4 linked regions of the Schizosaccharomyces pombe genome follow. Changing the gene in region 2 together with the main gene of any one other region gives a genetic interaction. Each region holds a gene or a part of one and is shown on either strand. Other genes may lie near its edges.

The links.
Region 1: mutations in cdt1 (region 2) and shm2 together harm fitness less than expected from each alone (positive genetic interaction), as found in Schizosaccharomyces pombe (one large-scale study listed by BioGRID).
Region 3: mutations in cdt1 (region 2) and rtf1 together harm fitness less than expected from each alone (positive genetic interaction), as found in Schizosaccharomyces pombe (one large-scale study listed by BioGRID).
Region 4: mutations in cdt1 (region 2) and tsp0 together harm fitness less than expected from each alone (positive genetic interaction), as found in Schizosaccharomyces pombe (one large-scale study listed by BioGRID).

The regions. Positions count from the first base shown.
Region 1 is NC_003424.3:2,216,170-2,221,291, forward strand, and holds shm2 (serine hydroxymethyltransferase Shm2), read right to left. Parts: upstream 2,654-5,122; 5' UTR 2,631-2,653; coding exon 2,547-2,630; intron 2,401-2,546; coding exon 1,018-2,400; 3' UTR 850-1,017; downstream 1-849. Other genes in the region: Rab11 family GTPase Ypt3, read left to right, coding at 1-72, 317-397, 452-588; translation initiation regulator Gcn1, read right to left, coding at 3,086-5,122. UniProt on the Schizosaccharomyces pombe protein: Interconversion of serine and glycine.
Region 2 is NC_003423.3:474,824-479,645, reverse strand, and holds cdt1 (DNA replication licensing factor Cdt1), read right to left. Parts: upstream 2,255-4,822; 5' UTR 2,216-2,254; coding exon 947-2,215; 3' UTR 908-946; downstream 1-907. Other genes in the region: U3 snoRNP protein Utp15, read left to right, coding at 1-443; wpl1 (WAPL family protein), read left to right, coding at 3,126-4,626, 4,667-4,719, 4,765-4,822. UniProt on the Schizosaccharomyces pombe protein: DNA replication licensing factor, required for pre-replication complex assembly. Faithful duplication of the genetic material requires 'once per cell cycle' DNA replication initiation and elongation.
Region 3 is NC_003424.3:4,795,968-4,801,278, forward strand, and holds rtf1 (RNA polymerase I termination factor Rtf1), read right to left. Parts: upstream 3,161-5,311; 5' UTR 2,962-3,160; coding exon 2,523-2,961; exon of another isoform or gene 2,476-2,522; coding exon 2,309-2,475; intron 2,264-2,308; coding exon 2,176-2,263; intron 2,137-2,175; coding exon 2,025-2,136; exon of another isoform or gene 1,987-2,024; coding exon 1,654-1,986; exon of another isoform or gene 1,609-1,653; coding exon 1,457-1,608; intron 1,410-1,456; coding exon 1,300-1,409; 3' UTR 1,228-1,299; downstream 1-1,227. Other genes in the region: 20S proteasome complex subunit beta 6 Pam1, read left to right, coding at 1-189; sec24 (coincidence detector Sec24/Sfb2 subunit), read left to right, coding at 3,788-5,311. UniProt on the Schizosaccharomyces pombe protein: Mediates site-specific replication termination at the polar replication barrier RTS1, a barrier which ensures that replication of the mat1 locus in S.pombe occurs in the centromere-proximal direction.
Region 4 is NC_003423.3:1,222,444-1,227,495, reverse strand, and holds tsp0 (tspO-like protein), read right to left. Parts: upstream 2,945-5,052; 5' UTR 2,858-2,944; exon of another isoform or gene 2,794-2,857; 5' UTR 2,757-2,793; exon of another isoform or gene 2,597-2,756; intron 2,554-2,596; exon of another isoform or gene 2,544-2,553; 5' UTR 2,523-2,543; coding exon 2,055-2,522; exon of another isoform or gene 1,587-2,054; coding exon of another isoform or gene 1,528-1,586; coding exon 1,501-1,527; downstream 1-1,500. Other genes in the region: CCAAT-binding factor complex subunit Php2, read left to right, coding at 582-1,586; BAR adaptor protein Hob3, read left to right, coding at 4,300-4,347, 4,390-5,052.

The sequences.
Region 1 (5,122 bases), on a different chromosome or scaffold from region 2:
TGCTTGTTGGTAATAAAACGGATTTACTACATTTAAGAGCTGTATCTACTGAAGAAGCCCAGGCATTTGCTGGTAAGTAATTTTGTTGGTGAGATATGGAGTTGTTCGGACGGGAAGTAGTGAAACCGGCTTTAGCCGCTCTCACTTTATTCCGTTCATCGTTTTTAGCAATTTTGAACTGCTTGAAGCGTAGAAGATCTCTTTTTGTTTTGAAATATTATTCACCTTGTCGATTCCATTCTCTGTTTATTAAGCACATTTGTTTGCCTCTGATTCGTCATAATTTTTTGAACATAATTAACTAATGTTTTTACAGCTGAAAATAACTTATCTTTTATTGAAACCTCCGCCATGGATGCTAGCAATGTTGAAGAAGCTTTCCAAACAGTTTTGACTGGTATGTTTATTCGTACTTGCTTTGATTTCTTCAAGTTTTACTAATCTAGCGTAGAAATTTTCCGAATTGTCTCCAACAGATCACTCGAGGCTGGAGACGACGGTGTTCATCCTACAGCTGGTCAAACGCTTAATATCGCCCCTACCATGAATGATCTTAATAAGAAGAAGTCTTCTTCCCAATGTTGTTAGATGGTTATCACGGATTCGTACCATTATTTTACCTCGTTTCTCTTCATTTAAAAACTCCACCCCTTTATAACATTTAAGGTGCCTTATGATTATGAAATCTTTAGCAGGTTAGTCAACCATTTATTAGGGCTGTATCCTTTAATAAAGGGGTAGATATTTTGCCTAATGCTAATATTGTCTACTATGGATTTACCGTCCTTCTTTATACACGCTTCAGCATAATTTTATCCCCATTCCTATGCAGCATATAAGTGTAACACATTATTACCTCTGTTTATTATATGATATTTGTAGGGTTACTTTAATAGAGAATTTGTCCAGATATTTTCATTATTCATACAGCTCATGTTTAATTTCCATGATATATCCTTTATAAGAGAAAGTAACAGATGATAAGTATGAGATAAGAGCCAAAAAGTTAGAGACAGCTTAAACGGGGAAATCAAATTTTCCAGCCCAAGTTATAACTTCTTTCTTCAGTTTGGCGATTTCAGAGAATTTAGAACCATCACCCACATATGCTTTGAAGTCTCTAAACTTCGATTTTCCTTCCTTCAAAGCAGCTTCATTTATTTTCTTGGTCAAAGATACAACTTCATCAATTAGCTCTACCACTCTCTCAAAATCCTTCTCATCAAAACCGCGAGTAGTGCAAGCTGGAGTTCCCAGACGTAATCCACGTGGAATTAAAGCAGACTTATCTCCGGGCACAGTATTCTTGTTGGCAGAAATATTTACAAGCTCTAAAATACGTTCGACACGGGCACCATCTACACCTTTGTCGGTCAAATCAACAAGAACCAAGTGAGTATCCGTGCCACCTGAAACTAACTTATAGCCACGAGTAATAAATGCATTGGCCATTGCCTTGGCGTTACTTAGAACGTCCTTTTGGTATTGATAGAATTCAGGAGTTTTTGCTTGTCCAAGGGCGACAGCTAACGCAGTAATTGTATGATTATGGGGGCCGCCTTGATGTCCAGGAAAAACTGAGAAATTGATTTTATCCTCTAATTCATATAAAATTGGATTACCACGTTTATCGTGAGAACGAGTACCTTTTCGATAAAATATCATAGCTCCTCTCGGTCCACGTAAAGACTTATGAGTCGTCGTAGTAACAATATCGGCGTATTCAAACGGAGAAGGAATTACACCGGCAGCTACTAAACCGGATATGTGAGCCATATCACAAAGCAAATAGGCATTGCACATTTCCGTAATTTTACGCATACGCTTGTAATCAACGAGTCGTGCATAAGCACTAGCGCCTGCAACTATAACTTTAGGACGAAATTGTATCGCAGCCTTTTCCAAACTATCATAGTCAATAATACCAGTTTCCTTATTTACGTTATATGGCATGGTGGAAAAATAAGTCGAGACAGCTGAAATAGCTTTCTGGGGAGTAGAGAAACCATGAGATAAATGACCGCCATGGGGTAAATCTAAACCCATTAGGCGATCGTGTGGCTTCATTACTGCTTGATAAGCCTGTAAGTTGGCCGGAGACCCAGAATGGGGTTGTACATTTACTCCCCATTTTTCCCCATCCAAATGAAAAGCTTCTAAAGCTCTCGTTTGACATAGTCTTTCAGCTTGATCTATAAATTCATTACCACCATAATATCTTGCACCAGGATAGCCTTCACTATATTTGTTTTGCATAATACTTCCGAGTGCATCCATCACAGCTCTTGAAGTAAAGTTTTCGCTAGCAATTAAAGCTATCGACTCTTTCTGACGGCTTTTCTCAGATTCCAAAATCTTATACACTGTCGGATCACATTCTGCCAATGGTGCTTTGAGTAACTTAATTATCGTTAGAACTTTATTAGAACACTTCATAAATCATTTGAGCAAGTCAATCTATCGCCTGTTGATAGTAGCAAACAGCACAGATAGAAAATACAGTCATTGCTTGCTCCAAAAAAGCGCGTTTAAATAAACTTCTTTACCTTTTTTTGATTAGCAGAAAGCGCATAAAAGCGCTTGGGAATTGAAGAGTAAGAGTTCTTGACGAATTGACGAAGAACTGCCATTGTGGTGATAGGTAAGGTGTCCTAAAACTGAAAGATAAAGTTGATAAAATTTAAGTAGAACTTGGCGCGTCCGAAAAACTTTTACAAACTAAAGTTTAATAACAATAAAGAATATTAAACTATTAGGTGGGTCAAATTAGAAAATTCCTTTTGGAAAGTTCTACTTCGCAAATATTTACCCCAAAGTAAGTACTATGATATTGAAAGTAAAAAGTAAATAAAGATGTCTTTCTTTATTAAGTTTACACATTTATAACACAAAGTCATTAATTTCTGATATTGTAACTAAATCTGATACGAAACTGAAGTTTAAAATTGCTACACCATATATTGATATCGTCAACACTTTACAGAGATATTTTATAAACAAAATGTTTTCATTCATCTATACCCAATCTTTTTTAACGTTACAACTCAAAACATGAATTGGAGTACTTCCAAATTTTGAGTTGGGATTAAGGATCATTAGTGGAAACTTCATTGTCCCGTCCTACAGCATTGATTTCCGCAAGATCCTCAACCTCTTCTAGTTTTACTCGCTCACTGCCAGAATTTATACGGTCACGTTCGGCAGCTGCTAATTTCACGGCAACTCTACGACTGTAGTCAACAAAACTTCTTGCTCTTGGCCCTTCTAGTGTCTCAATATACTTGTTTAAAACACTGTCATCTTCAACCAATTGGAACAAAGCCAAAAATGCAGCTTCTGCTGCAAGTTTTACGGGAATCACAATGGCCCTAACACAACCGAATATCGCAGGAGCTAGAATGGAAATATGTGGTTTAATAAGACTATAATTTTCCTTGCTCACAACCCTTATGATTAAAAGTGCGAGACGTCGTGAATCTTGAGAAGTTGAAGGTGGAGCCTCGATGTTAACCTTCAGTGCCTCAACTAAATTCTTGGCATTTCCGAAACTCTGTGGAATATCAGCCAAAAGTGCTTTACCAAGAGCCAAAATACCATTTTCAGCAATTGTAACTTCCTTCTGTAAACTCGCAGTTGAGATAATCGAACAAACTATGTCTGATAACTTCAACTCAATAATTTTTTGAGAACCAAACTTCACAGCAGCATTCAATATCAGTACCGAAAATTCAGACTGAATCTCTAAACTCAAAACCTTACTTTCTAACAGCTGCTTTGCTTGAGCGTCAGGTAGATGACTGAATAATGCACCGTATAACTTGGCGCAAATTACCATGTGTTCACTACTTTCTGCAGATATTTCGTCAAGGAGCTGTTCAATGGCTTCTGCGGATGCTTCATTCATATTCTGCCCAGACTTTGAAACAACAGCAAAAAGTGCGTTAAGCATAGCCTTACGAACACCCGCATCGGGAGTCCGTGCACCAGATACAAGCTCCGTGATAATGGGAGCAAGTCTTGTTTGTAAGGTAATCAGAGTTCCTAATGCTGTTGCTGCACGACTCCGAATGACTTCGCTAGATGGATCACCCAAACATTTTGCAAATGTCCTCTGCAATTGGGGCAAAAACGGGCGCAAAAATGTAGAGATTTTAGATAAAATAATATTAAGCGTATACAGAATAGCGCACTTAACCTCGACCGGGAATCGTTCACCAATAATACGAATTAATGGTCCTGTTATTTGAGTAACAAAAGGACGAAGTTTGCTTGGTTCAGTCTTTAAAACAATGTCTGCAATACCTAAAGCAGATTGTTCTCGCTGATCCATTGTTCCATGCATTAATCCGTAAAGGAAAATAGGTAAAATGGAATTGACGCCCTGAGCAACTTCAAACGCCGGAAGATTAACGCCTTGAGATCCCACATCGCGAAGGCTATGATAGGCAATTGAAACTAAAGAATCCAACTGGTCTTTGCGAAGAGCCGAAACAAGAGTATTCTGAGCAGCAACTGCAGCAACCACAACATCTTGACTCTTGTCTTCGAAGAGAGTAATAAAATGTCTAACCCAGTCCCCAACGTACCTATAGTAATCGAGTTTACAGTTTTGGAAAAAGACTAGCATATGCTCAGCAGCAAATAATCTCTTTCTGAAATCTTCACTTTCAGAAAACGAGTAAAAATGAGCCATAAGAATTTGGAGTCCTTCTTGATCCTTCACAGACAAATTAACTTTATCAATTGCTCCATTCAAAGCAACAAGATCATCTCCAGTTGAAGCTAGAGAAGATTCCATTAGCGCATTTAGAATGGAAGGTAATCTTTTATTCAAGGTTACACCAGCAACTTGAGCCAAAGATGATAAAGCACGAGCATTGAAAGCAGAAACAGGTTTTTTAATAAGAGTAGGGATGAGAACAGGAAATATAGTTGATGATCGTCGGGAAATTATCTCTCTAAGGGCTGAAAGTGCTTGCTCAGATTGATTTTCTGATTCAAGTAACTTAAGTAATTGCGGTAACACATCATCAACAGCTCTATCTCCTAAAATACTTTGGAGTGAATCGAATGCCTCAGCAGCAGTTTCCCTAACTTCTAAATCACCATCCATAAGGGCTCG
Region 2 (4,822 bases):
AAATCTATAAGGGCGAGAACGATGAATTTTATGTCGAAGAGGCTAGACGTAAAAGACTTCGTCCTTTCGACAAAGCTTTAAAATCATTTTGTTACTCTGATGCTTTGGATATGGTATTGGAGAACGGATCACCTGTTCTTATCATAACTATGCTTATTGAGCTTCTTCATGTTGGAGGGTTACGGATTGCATTGTCTAACAGAGATGATTTATCTCTTACTCCTTTGATAAACTTCTTAAGAAAATATATAAGAGACCCTCGTTTCTCCGAAACTTTATGTATAGTTACTAGCACCATTTTAGATATATACGGAGCTGCTCTTGGGGGCAGCGTAATGGTGGAAAATGCAATTTCAAAGCTTCGTGAAAAAGTTGAGCAGGAAGTAGCGGTTACTCAAAGGGCAAATGAGTTGGTTGGTATGCTTCAGATGTTGTCTGCTTGACCAATGATTATGATATCTTAATGTGCGAGTTATACCTCAATTTGTGTGTTCTAACTAGCAACCTTTACATTATCGATATGATTCACTCAGATTGTTTATTAAAAACGGCGCCTTATTTGAGATTTTTAATTACAGCAATAACTGCCACCCTTTGCCGCTGGAATTGGTAAATATCAAAAAATTTTATTCAATGTTTGGGTGTTAATTTAAAGTATTCGCAGAAAAACAAAAACTTGGGATTTATGGCAGGTTAAGTGGTCTTAAAGGAAATAATTATTTATTAAAAAAAAGTAATTTTGTAGCTTGTTAAAAAGGATAACCGGATTTCATGTACCTAGAAGAGTAAATCAACCAAAAACATAATAACAAAAGTAAATTAATGAAAGATTCCATAGTATCATAATATTGGTGATGGAAATTATATAGATCGTAAAAGATAGTAAACGTTAAACCACTGCCAGCAGTGGTGATCTTAGGCATGTCATTCGAAACATCGCCTACAATTAAGAATTTGAAAGAATAGTGATGCTAGCCTTTGTTTGCAATTCTTCAATTAATTGGGATCGCAAGTATGGTTTCCCATTAACAATCCTGCTGAATGTGACTACTTGAATATTACCAAGAAGATTGATAGTGCACCAAGCAGGCAAAGCTTTTGAAAGCAACTCAATTGCTTTGGCACACTGGTCAGGTGATAAGCTTGATGATATCGACATTTGCATGCTTGTCACAATTTCAGACATAGAAAAAGATCGTTTAGTTGGCCAAGTGGAAAGCTGAACAAAAATGAGATCAATAATGCGGACAAATGAGACCTTTTCTTTTGCTAGAGTATGAACAACTAGGTTGTTTTTAAATTCTTCAGCTTTTTTTGCTTCCATTGCTTTTTGCTTTTTACGCACGCGATCGAACAGAGAAGATTGTCTCAAAGTTAACTGAGATGATGTTAGCTTACGCGATGAATTTTGAACAGATGAAGAACTTTGATGGGATTTCAAATTGATTTTTGAATTCACTGACTTTGACAAAGTGGACGAACTGTCAAGCATGCTACACGAGACTAACTCATTAGCATATTTTGCCGTGTTAGTAGTGAATTTTGGTTCTAGAGTTTGTGTGGGAATACGTAACTCGCGACTTGTTGATTTCTCCAAATTGAGCTTTCGAACTAGTGAACTTTCATTAACAGTATTCTTGGATAGACTGGGTAAAGCTTGTAACTGTTGAGCAGGAATCTCAGTTTCAGAACAATGCTCTAACAACCATTTTTCTAGTCTCCGTTTAAATTCAATGGAGCGGGAGAAGGCTTCAGGAAGATTCGCATTGCGAGGGTATGACAGTTCATATGTTGCAACACGCTTTCCTTGATGAATAGTAAAACATGGGGTAATAGCAAATGACTCTGGCCATACGGTTAAAATCTGAGCGAGATGAGTTATTTTTAAGGAGATTTTGGTGAGACCAGAGACTTTATTTTCTAACAGCACAAAGGTTGGTTTGGTATTGATGGAGAGGTGAAATTTTACACATATGTCGACTGCATTAAAGACCTTTTCTAAGAAAAGAACTGATTCATTTTTAACTGGGGGTAAAACCTCATTTTGTTCTAAAGACTCAGTGTCCAAGTTCTCTTTCAGCCTTTTAACAGCTGGTATTATTTGAGAATCCTCAGGATTTTTGGGTGGCTCAATAATGGCCGCATTCGACCTTTTTGATGAGGATCGAGTTTTACGGACAGAGAAGTTCAATTTTGTTTGCGATCCAGCGCTCATGATTTGAACACAAAATCCAAAAATAAGGATATTGTTGTCGTGACTATATAGGGCGCGACATTTCATTTATATCGAGGGTTATATTAAATTTGAGCGTGTCGCGTTTGTTGACGCGTCGCGTAGCTATCGTGTCGCGCTTGCTAACTAGTTCACATTTGTCCGACTAATCAGTTTATGTCTTACTTAGCCTATATGATTCAGTAGATTATATTGAATAAATAAGTTCCAACACTTGTACAAAATTCACAAAACAATTTTTTAACTACAGCTTTTCATTTTCCGAAGTTTTTATAGAATCTCTTATACGAGTTTAAAATTATTACAGGATGCATCGTTATATAAATTTTGAATAACTCCTTTGCTCTGCGAGATATTATTGAGTTGTTCGTTGTCGAAATTTTCAATAATATGTTACATGTCACAATGATTTCTGTATAATAAAGGTGTTGCACCAAGTTCAGGCTCTCTGAAAACAAACTTGTGTCAAATAGCCACTCGTCCACTTATGGTCTTCCATAAGTTGTACGAATTCAAAACTTTTAGTTAACTTTTTTACTATCAGTGGATAAGTTGCTATAATAAATGAATAAAAAGATGCCCTGTATGATTTCTATCGACTAAGTCTTTTCTATTTATACTGGGTAGAGTAACAATGTGACTCAAATATCTATAAGGACCGATTGAAATCAACCAAGTACAAATAGAAAAACGATTCTAAAATTACTGAGTATAAAAAACGAATTTCTCATCAAGGACCCTATTTTCTTTTTTCTTTGCTCAAGAAGTTATTAAGCTCTATTTTCGAAGGTTTTCACTCACTCGACAAGCTACATTGTGAGTTGGTACGACCGTGTTCCTCCATTTTTGTAAAGAATCGATGTCAAGCCAGGCGGATTGAAGAAACCTTGAAATGAAAAGAGGAAAATGTAAGGAAAAAGATAATGGTTTGAAGAGAATTTCTTCGGAATCGGAAGTTTGGAACTTTTTAGACGTGACAGTTTCAGAGTTAAACAAGCAAAAGCGCTCGCCAGGACAGACCGTGTCTAAACGACTGCATAAAAAGCAAAGGGTCGTTAGTAATCCTGATTTGAGTTTACCGTCTTCACCGGTAAAACAAATTTTAAGAAATGGACTTCAGAATTCAAAGTACGGTTCTCATAAGACAGGACTGGAAAGGTCCGCGAGCTGTAGTAGTATTGATGCTTCCGCAAACCATTCTTCCACTACCTATCGGGAACAAAGATCGTATTTGATGGAGGAAGGATTAGATACTCAGCCAATTGTACCCCGTGAAGTATCCTCTGGTCGAGAATTGGATTCAACCAACCATACTATTGGTACAGAACGTGCTTTTTTGATAGAGGAAGACGTATCAGAAGATGATGAAATTCAAATGAAAAGTATACATGAACTTCGCTTTGCTGGAGAGCAGCAAAGGATCGTTGATGAAATTGAATACTTAGTGGACGGAGTGACTTTCTCAGGTAACTCTTCTGCTTCTCGCTATTTGAGTTTAATAGGAATCGCTGAAAAAATGTTTGACAATTCATTTCGTTTATGCTTAAAGTCGATACGGGATGTCTTCTTGCGAATATTTGAAGAAATTGATCCTAAAGATACTTTACACACTTTTTTGCAGATTTATATATTTGCAACTATGGCTAATGAAATGGATTGCATGAGTTCCTTGCTTGATGCTTACTCAAACAATGTTAAACTTCTTTTGCAAACGGCTATTACTTTAGAACCGCAGGTACCGGTTTCAATTTTGGCAAAAAGCTTACCAAAAAGTGTAAAGGGAGCCGTTCAAGAATTCGTTATAAAGGCAGAGCTTACTTTTAGTTTTAGCAATGAGTCTCTTGCTTCTTCTGATTCTATCAGTCTTGCAGCTATCGCTCTTATGAAGACGTCCTCGGGAGTTTTTGCGGAAAGCGAGTTGTTTACCGAATTAATCAATCTTTTAATAGAAAAATCCTACCCCATCTTGAAGGAAAACGATGGAAGCAATAACTTCTTACTTCATGCACTTTGTAGTTCTTTAGAAAAATTTACGGATTTCCAGGGATCAGAAAAGATTCAGAAGGTTTCACAGATCTTATCCTCAAAGTTACAAATTTTAATTGATGAACACAATGAAACAAATTCACCAAAAATTGACGATACAGTTGTCCATGCATGCAGTGAAAAATTGTTGCGTACTTTGATTCAAACAGTTAATTCTAACAGTGATCATGCGTTAGCGGTTTCTAAATCAGAAGTCCCATTGTTTGCTTATAAAATTTTACAAAAGTTTTCTAATTTTTCGTCCGATGATGAAACTACACGAGAACTAATTATCTTAATCCTTGGTCTTTTACTAGGGCTAGTTGAGGAATCTCATGAGTTTATTCAAACTATCACTCATGTTGAAGGTAAGTTCCTTTTATTAATATTTTTACTAATTCTATTTAGTTTCTTTCGGAGCTTCAGCACTCGATGTCCTCATTTCGTTTTATCAAAAGAACGTAAGTTGTACTACTTCTGTTGTAAGACATTTCTAACAAATGTAGGAAAGTATCGTAGAAATTAGTGGATATGTCGTAATGATTTTAAGCCATTGCTTTTTAA
Region 3 (5,311 bases), on a different chromosome or scaffold from region 2:
GTTCCTGGTTCACATGGAAAAGAGAGAAAGCCAAGGAGACTTTTAAAATTGGAGGAAGCTATGAAGATTACTACTGATGCATTTACAAGTGCTGGAGAACGACACATCGAGGTTGGTGATTCAGTTCTTGTTAAGATTATCACAAAAGAAGGTGTAGAGACAAGAATTATTCCTTTGAAGAAGGATTAGATTTTTGTAAATATGACTTTTTTATGTTCCACTGTCACAGATATAGCTTCCTAGAATGGCAGCCTGCCTGTCAAGCTCAATTCCAATTTCGGATTGCATGATTATGTATGAGATTTTATCGGAGATATCCCTATTTTGAAAAGCCTAGTCTCAATTTATTTTACAAGTTAAACATTTTTTTTTGTCTTTGATGTACATTGCATAGTTTCATGGCGTATTTATGAATGTGTAGAGGATAAGTTCGAAACAACTTAAACTTGTAATTTTTTTAGTCATATTTATGAAAAGGATTAGTTAGGAAGTGATAGAATATTTGACATAAAAATCAGGATTTCAGTACATCAGTAATTTAAATTCCGTTCTTTGACTCTATGAAATCACTAGACGCTTGGCTAATTTATCATAAAGAAAAAATTATTTAATGATTTTACTTTTCTTCAATCAACCTCTTTTCATCCATATTTTATTTTCGCATCAATGAATAAAAATTTATGATGGGTAAGTAAATAGAATTATCTGATTTGTTATTTTGTGGGCATCACTTCTGTATTCATGTATTATTAATGAAACTTACTTAGTTTTCATTTATGTCTCTCTGTGTACTATTAATTTAATTCAAAAAATTCAGAAATGACCTGTCAAAATAGCCTCTTATGAATGCGGTTAATGTATGAGTTATTGACTGATAAAAAAACTAGATGCAGGCACCCTTGCTAAATTAATCAATGATGATGATGATTATTTTATTTTATAGCTTGACATTCGTTCTTTTTTTTAACCTTTTATTAATAATGGGTTAAATTATAACATCATATCGACTGGGGATGTAGTTTAGGGGTATAACGTTTCATTCGCATAGTTCGCACCTTGAAAAGGTCCCGGGTTCGATTCCCGGCATCTCCAATGTTAGAAACTATTTTTCCTTTTTATCCACATTTGTTTTATTTATTGACTACACGGCAAACAGGTTACATACACAAATGTATACTAGAAAAAATATAAAAGTGAATTTACTAATATAAGTAAGATGAGAACATTCTCTCAATGAATACACAAAAAATTTAAATCTATGACTTTGAGGAAGTAGTTAAAATAAATTTGTTCATGTAGCTAGCATAAATCATCGGCGTTAGAAAAAGCGGTGTAAGAATCATGTAAGTTCGAAATGTAAGTTTCTTCAGGAGAAGAATTTAGCATTTTGTGCAAATGAATTAAAGTATCTAAAGCGTTAACATATTAACAATAATTATTATATTCAAAAATTTACCAGAAAACGTAGAAAGTCCATCGATAAACAAGGTTTTTTTTATTCTTTCGAAATGCGATTTACAAGCATCTGCTGTCCATAGGTGATTAGCATATTCTGATAAGCATTTCCAATCAATCATCCGTTCCTCTGCAACATTAAGGTCCATCATTCTGAATTTAATTAGCTTCTTATTTAAAATTTTATAATTGGAGTACCTTTCAATTAACCATATACTATCGCCAAGTTTGAAAGGGGAACTATTATGTATATCTCTGGAAATTAGTGTGTAATACTTCCACCTACAATGATGACGGTGTCGATTTCTCATGTTTTTAGAAATTAGACTCCATTGAATAGGGGATGAAGGATTGCTTTGCAAGTATTGATTAACCGTTTTGATTAATTTTTCTTTCTCCTGGATAGTCCATGGTGAACGATTGATTTCACCAGGTTGAATGTAGTCGCGCCAATGATCTCTGCAATGCATTGGTAGTCTATTCGACAATTTGCCAATTAAGCTCCAGGATGTTCCATGTTTTTCAACAAGTCTATTAGTTAGTTGCAATTTGGAAAGTAAACTACATACTTTTTCAATTCTGCCTCATCTTCTATAGTCCATTTACATTTTTTCTTAAATGGATTATATTTTCTGCGGAGATAATTGTAAATACTCTTTTTATCCCTATCGATAAGCTCATCTATTATTAATTAGTAACAAGTGATAGTAATTGACTTACACAAACAATTATATAATGTTTTCATTTCATCACGATGGTTATCAGACCAAACATATTGAAGAAATTGTTCATCAGACCAATTTTTTTTCTGTTTTTTAATATTTATAATAAAACAGCAAGCTAAAGACCATACCTTTTTAAACATAGCAATTTCTTTTTCCAAAGTGATAATGTCGTTTGCTCCCCATGATCCAGACGACGCTTTTTTAACGTATTGAAACCTTTCATAACCTGGAATGTTAAAATATCCCTTAAGATGCCTATACACAGTCCTTCGTGAAACATTGGGCACTTGAATTTCTAGACTTGAATTAGCGGATTTTTTTGAAAGCACTCAGGTGTCATACGAAATTGAATGAGTAAATTATTGAAAGGTTTTGGAAGTCTTTTGGTTTTAATAAGAAGATCTCTCGCAGCCACAAAGTTTAATTCGCTTTCTTTCAAAAATTCATCAATTAGTTGACTTAACAGAACCCAAAAAGTGGGTGTCCAGTTGGTGTAATCTCTACTGAATACAAAGTCTTTATATGAAGTAGTGCCTGTTTTTTTGAAGCCTCGACATGTTTCATGGTCTTTCGCACTTCCAGCAATTGCTGTTTTCACATTTTCAGGTGATACCATAGTCTCATCATAATTGTATTCATGAAAGCTTATGGGGTTTCCCAAGTAAATGAAAGAACTTGTATTTTTCGAGTCACCAATGGGTGATAAGAGTTGATCATCGACAAAGAGCTCTTCATTGTCCTCTGTATCCGGTCTGCAACTTAAATTGTTTTTTCCTTGCATAATAATGTTCACTTGTCTGAAGAAATATTAAGAAAAAAACATTGACAAAAGGTAATCAGTATAGCAAGGGACCCGGGGTGTAATAGTTCATGTAAGACAAAACCAAATAGCGCAGGCAACTTCAATTATTCAATCTATAATTGAACTTTTGATACTTTGCAATTCTGAATTCTAATTAACTAGTGAGCCTGTTAAAATTGGGTAACATTATAGAGCGTTGGTGTAGCTAAATAGTGTACGATACATGCAGTGATGGTTTTTGAGAGCATTTTTAAAAAAATTTCAAAATTTCTTAAGATGTGACTCTCTTGTTTATGATATATACATGTAAAATTTTTAAAATAGAAAATTAAGTATGAGTGGTTTAGAAGAGTTTTTTTAGTTGAAAACGTTTACAGGTATCTGCCTCATATCAAACTTAAAAAAAAAAAAGAATAAATTAAAACGATAAAATATCTCTATTGGCTTTTGTTTACTAATAATCACTATTTTTTATCAATTAGGTACAAAGTTCCTGCCTATGTTAAAATTATTAGGGTAATAACGTGTGTCACCGATATAATTACTACGATACATAGTATTTAATAACGAAACTGTAAAGCTCGTTAACTTTCCAGTGATTACCTTAACTTTCCATCTACGTTAGTTGAACCAGCGAATGTAGCTGCCATTTACCTACTCCAGGGAACACTGTTAAAAACGTCTTTTTGTGAAAAGGAAGGAAAAATAGAGGGATCTTCAAAAAAGTTATTAAATAATTCAGTGTTTCTTTTCTTTTTTTTGCTAGCAATATACCACTGTAAGTAAAAAAAAATACACTAAAGCAATGAGTCAGGAGGACGCTTTCTACGGAAAGGGTAGTTATGGAGCTAGTAGTGGAAATTCGAATATACCTCCTCAAGGATTTCAGCCAGTTTATCCAGTTGCTGGCCAGCTAGATAATACCGCTCCTTATGTCGGGGCAGTTGCTGAGGGTACAGCTGAAGGCATTGTAAGCAATGGTGAATACGCTGTTGGAGCTATGGGTGCTGCTCCTACCAACATAATAGGATCTGTCGATCAACAACCACCCGTTTCTCATACCTCTCATAAGTCTCGTAGACAGTATCCTGCTGAGGTGTTTGAACTTACAAATACCTTAGCAGCGTCACCGGCTCCCCCTTCTCTTTCAGAGCCCTCTTACGTTATGGCACGAACTCCATCCTCTTCACCATATCCTCATGATCGCGCAGAGGTGGGAACTAAATCTCTCTCTGCACAATTTGGCGGAATGTCACTTGGAGCAGATGGTGCAGCAGCTATGCCTACCAATGAGTTAGTTTCTGTTGATTTGTACAATCAAACACCAGAAATTTCTGACTTAACCTCTCCTCCTCCTCCTATTAATTTACCCTTAAGCTATTCCGCTACTGGAGCAGCTACTTCCAATTGCCCTCCCAAATATGTTCGATCCACGATAAACTGTGTACCGACAACAAATAGCTTGTTAAAAAAGTCAAAAATTCCATTTGCATTAGTCATCCGTCCATATACTAGCTTGGTCGAAGAAGATGATCCAGTTCCAGTTGTTACTGATACTATTATATCACGATGCCGCAGGTGTCGTATGTATATCAATCCTTTTAGTATCTTTATTGACAATGGCCATCGCTATCGCTGTAATTCTTGTGGTATTGTTAATGAAGTACCCCAGTCATATGACTGGGACAGTTTCAGAAATGTCCAACGTGATCGCTGGCAACGTCCTGAGCTCAATTATGCAGTTGTTGATTTTATTGCTCCTCAAGAATATATGGTTCGTGCTCCACAACCTTTGGTTTACGTATTTTTAATTGATATTTCGTTTGTATCCATATCTTCTGGTATGGTTGGTACTGCAAGTCGTGCAATTCTGGAATCATTGGATCGCATCCCCAATAAAGAAGGACGTGCAAAGGTGGCTTTTATTGGTGTAGACAGTGCCCTGCATTTTTTTTCAGTTTCCCCTGGTGCTGAAGAAGCCACCCAACTAGTTGTTTCTGATTTAGAGGAACCGTTTTTACCCAGGAATCAAGATTTGTTACTTAATTTACGCGAATGTAGACAAGGCATTGAAAACTTACTCGAGCGATTTCAATCAATGTTTGCAACTACCCGTGATTCTAGTAATGCCCTTGGACCAGGTCTTAAGGCTGCCCATCGTCTCATTGAAAATATTGGCGGTAAAATTTGCTGTCTCATTTCGAGTCTTCCTAATGTTGGTGTTGGTAAATTGGAGTTACGTGAAGATCCTAAACTTTTGGGAACAAATCGTGAATCTAGCCTTCTTCATCCCAATGACTCCTTCTATAAATCCTTCGCGGTGGAATGC
Region 4 (5,052 bases), 750 kb from region 2:
AAGTTTACAAAATAAAAGCGTTGAAACACATCACTTTAAAAGGTACATAAGAATTGATGATGCTTACTTCTAAGTAAATTATTAATAATATCAAATAAAAAAATATTGTACGAGGTAAAAGTCTCCCTCTTCAACTACATCGCATACAACATTGAAAACTGTTTAAAAAAGATATTTGGTATAACGTGTTCCAGTGCCATACGCTACAATGCAACCTCTGTTGTATTATATTTCGACTGTTAGCTTTTTTTTAACCCAATTCATAAGAAAATAGTTATGCCATTCAGTTAGTGACATTATCATATGTGTACATAAGATTATATATTCGTTTGTGACAAAATGCACTGCAAGCCGTCCTCACTATTTGCAATCCTGGAAAGATCGACAATAATCGTTATACACATTTACCGATATGTAAAGAATAGCTGCTTACCATTGGTAGTCGCTAGCGCCTGCGGAGTTACAAACCACCTAAACCAACCAACCGACCAACGAGACGAATATACCGTAACGAGCAGAATTTTGATTCCTGAGATCCTCCCAATAGTTAGAGCAATTGAAATAAGAATAGTCATTTTCCAATGAATCCATATGAGCCGGTCGAGGGGCTTTACGTGAATGCAAAGCAATACCATCGAATTTTGAAACGTAGAGAAGCTCGCGCAAAGTTAGAAGAGAGATTGCGTGGTGTGCAGACTACGAAAAAACCATATTTACATGAATCAAGGCATAAGCATGCTATGCGACGACCTCGTGGTCCTGGTGGCCGATTCTTGACTGCTGACAAAGTATCAAAATTGAGAGCGCAGGAAGCTGCAGAGGCAGCTGCTAATGGAGGAAGTACAGGAGACGATGTTAATGCCACAAATGCCAATGATGCCACCGTGCCTGCAACCGTTTCTTCTGAAGTGACTCACACGTCTGAAGGATATGCGGATAGCAATGATTCAAGACCTAGCTCTATCTCCAACTCGTCTGAGTCTCCAGCTCCTATCAATTCTGCCACAGCATCTATGTCTCCTGCTAACAATACTTCTGGAAACAACATTACTTCTCCAAATGTCAGAGGCGAGCTAGACATGAGTGGTAATATTGCCATGTCGGGTGGGCCCACTAATACCGCTTCCACCTCGGGGCCAGTGCCTCATGATATGACAGTGCTCCCACAGACCGACTCAAACACATCGAATCTTATGTCCAGTGGTTCTCAACTAGGCAGTTTTGCTACAGCTTCTACCAATGGCAACAACTCTACTACTACTACTACTTCGTCAGCTGCTCATCCAGGGTCATTTCATAAAGGTACTAATGATTATTCATCTACACTAGCTGGAAATGAGCATAGTGCTTTTCCTGGTCTGGATGTGTATCACGATGATAGCGTGTCTGCAGGTGCAGCTTTTATACCACACAATCCAATGGATTCGATTGATCACCTTGATGTCAATGATCCTACAGCCACAGGTCTCCCTGTACTACCAGCGAGCGATATCGATCCTCTTAATTTAACAGGCAATACCCAAGATTCTATGATAATTGGTCAGCAAACATATCCCTCACACGGTTCTTCAGGAACCATGAAGTAGTCAACTAATTAAGGCTGAGAGAGATACAAAACAATCACAAGACTGTGTATAGGTTGTCGACCTACCGACAAAGTTCAATTTAGGACTGCAATGTTGTTGGTGATTTTTTGAGAAAGAAACAAGTCGAAATCACTCAGTCATGGCCTTTTTGCATATCATATTATACTCATTATTTTTTTAGTCACCGATTTATTATCCATCAATTTGTTTTGACTTTTTTCGTTCTGCCCAATTTTTTTTTTTTATTTAACTCATATCCCTCCTGCTGTCTTTTTCTTATTCCAATAATATTTTTTCTCCGACCTGATTCTTCTGTTATTGTTTTTTTAGTGTTTTTTTTTCTGTTTCTTTCAAACTTTGATCGTGCAGCTTAAGCTCTTTCTTAAATGCAACAATACATTCTACTGTCTCATGTCATGCTTTTGACTCTCTTGATCTACATCAACCTTAATTAGTGACATTACTTACCAAGTAGCCAGCGTATCCCAACCAGGCTAAATAAGGAATTAACCATTTGGAAGCCGTTGGTGCAAGAGGCCACCATGTCTTTGCAAGCCAACCAACAAGTCCCGTCAAAATGCCGAGATCGGCAAGAGCCAATTTTGGTTTTGCTAATCCGTAGAACAAGGGCATCCAAGCAAAGTTAGCGGCCAACTGTGCAATGTATAAAATGGATCCATTTCGAGAGGCATTCGTAATCATCAAAGGGTCAGCCTTGTACGCCAAATGGGATGCATATCCCATTGTTAGGTATAGTAGTGTCCATGCTGGTCCAAAGGCAGATGCAGGGGGGTGGAACTTTGGTTGCTTTTTGTTCTCATAATCCTTTCTTGGCTTGTAGGAATTCCCAATGAACCAGCCGCAGGCGACTGGAACGAGAGAAGCGGACCACCAATTTTTGGAGATGCTAGTGAATACTTGATAGTTCAAATCCATCACACTTAATAATATCGTTTACTGTTGATTAGCGAAATCGGGAAAAAAAAATTCCACGAATGTAAAGAGTACTAACAACGACTGCTACTAAAAAACCATAAGTATTTCGAATCTTAATGCAGCTCGTTTACAAACAGCAGAGATAATGTCGAGATACAAAAGGTCTTTCAAACCATGCTAAGCAAATAGACATGGAGTAGCTAGAGTTAAGTTTGATAATTAAAACTGACATACATTAAACTAGAAATTTGGAGAAGAGTTGTTGAAACTTCTAATTGAATTGAAGATTAGTAAAATTGGACCATAAAGCTTAACCATCTTTCAATCTTCCATACATTTTAAAAACGGGCACAGTATCGATATGAGAGAAATACGATACTAAACTAAAATAAAAGGAAATACTTAATTGTAGTTTGATCTTGGAAGCTACTCGAATGTATAATTCACCATATTTATAACCTCGTCTATTACGTCACAGAAGGGAAGGAGGAGCGAGGTATTGGGGTATAATACGTGTTCATACTGCGTAAGGTGGTGGTAGATGTGTCTCGCTAAAAAGTGTTTATAAGGAGTTTTCCATAAGATAATATTTTCAGTACAACTAAATTTTTTATATTATTAATATTATATTATAAAATTATGTATATCTATTAGTAGCAGCGCTTGTTTTCTGTAATAGAATATATTTGGGCTGGTCAAATGCGGTTAATTATCATCACACAGATGAGATTTATGGGCAAATTTAGTTATAAAATTAGATAAGACAACAAAGAGAGAAGAAAGGTTTATTTCGGTGCTTTTGTTTCTTACTTTCAGAAGAATCTTTCTCTTGGGCATTATCTGGATGTCTTACTGCCCACAGAACAAACAAACTGTCATTGAATGGCTGAGTTCTTGTTTCAATATCTAATATCGCTATACAATAGCTCTCAAAGTAATGCACCACTACTACAACTTAAGTTCTTCACTTTTTGAGTAAGGATGCAAACTATGAGACCGGGTTTTTTTAGCTCAAATGTCGCTGAAAAGCGTTTTCTTTATAGTTTTATCATGAATGATCTCATATATTGATAAGTAGCAATCGTGTCTTTCCATGTCGAAGCCTCAAAACATTATATCCATATAATGCAAAACCATTTATTCCACCACTTCTAATGAAATTTATAAGTTGGTAAAATGTCCGTATTTCAAATTGCTTCTCCACAATATCTTCCATTTATGAGCAAACGATATTACCTCTATATTGTCAAGTTAAAATGTTTACATTGATATATTATATTAAACTATAACATAACTATATTACCTTATAAGGCGATTTCTGCTGGATGCAGTTAGTGAACAAGAATTATCTGAGGATAGACCTCTAATTGCAGTCAGAGATTTACTACAGATGATTATACAAGAAAAATTTAGATATATTTTTTAAGCGATGTAATTTATTGATAGTGACATGAAAGTAAGCCAACCCTCGAAACCCAAATTTACCACCATTATGCTCTTGCTCTATCAATTAAACACAAAATTAACGACACGCTTTTCATCCTTATCTTTTTATAATTGCATTGTGAAATAAACTATCATTATTCTATTTAACGCAATGATAAACTTCGCAATCAGGCTTTACGTTATGGCTTTGCTTCCGTGAATTGTTCCCTACGCGAATCCTGCTGAATCCACTAAAAGATCCAATGCAGCTTAGCTAGCGAACATTAGCGCAGCGATCAACTGACATAAGATATCTGGGTATGCCGACGCTTCTCTTTTCCATATCACAAAAATGAGTTGGCATGGATTCAAAAAGGCCGTTAACCGAGCGGGTACCTCGGTATGTATTTGAGTGTTGAAGAATTGTCTAACATTGTGGTAGGTTATGATGAAGACGGGTCATGTTGAGCGAACGGTGGATCGGGAATTTGAAACAGAGGAAAGACGTTATAGAACTATGGAATCAGCTGCAAAGAAGCTTCAAAAAGAAGCCAAAGGTTATCTCGATGCTTTGAGAGCCATGACTGCGTCTCAAACTAGAATCGCTAACACAATCGATGCATTTTACGGTGATGCTGGATCGAAGGATGGTGTCAGTGCATACTATCGACAAGTCGTCGAAGACTTGGACGCCGATACCGTAAAAGAGTTGGACGGTCCTTTCCGGACAACGGTGTTGGATCCCATCTCAAGGTTCTGCAGTTACTTTCCCGATATTAATGCCGCTATCACGAAGCGTAATCACAAATTACTTGATCATGATGCTATGAGGGCTAAGGTTCAAAAACTGGTCGACAAGCCTTCCAACGACACTACTAAGCTTCCCCGTACCGAGAAAGAAGCAGCCATGGCGAAGGAGGTCTACGAGACACTCAATAATCAACTGGTCAGTGAGCTTCCGCAACTAATTGCTCTTCGTGTGCCTTATTTGGACCCTAGCTTTGAAGCCCTTGTCAAAATTCAGCTCCGCTTTTGTAGGGAGGGATATGAGAAAATGGCTCAAGTTCAGCAATACTTTGACAACTCTGTACGCGAAGACTATTCC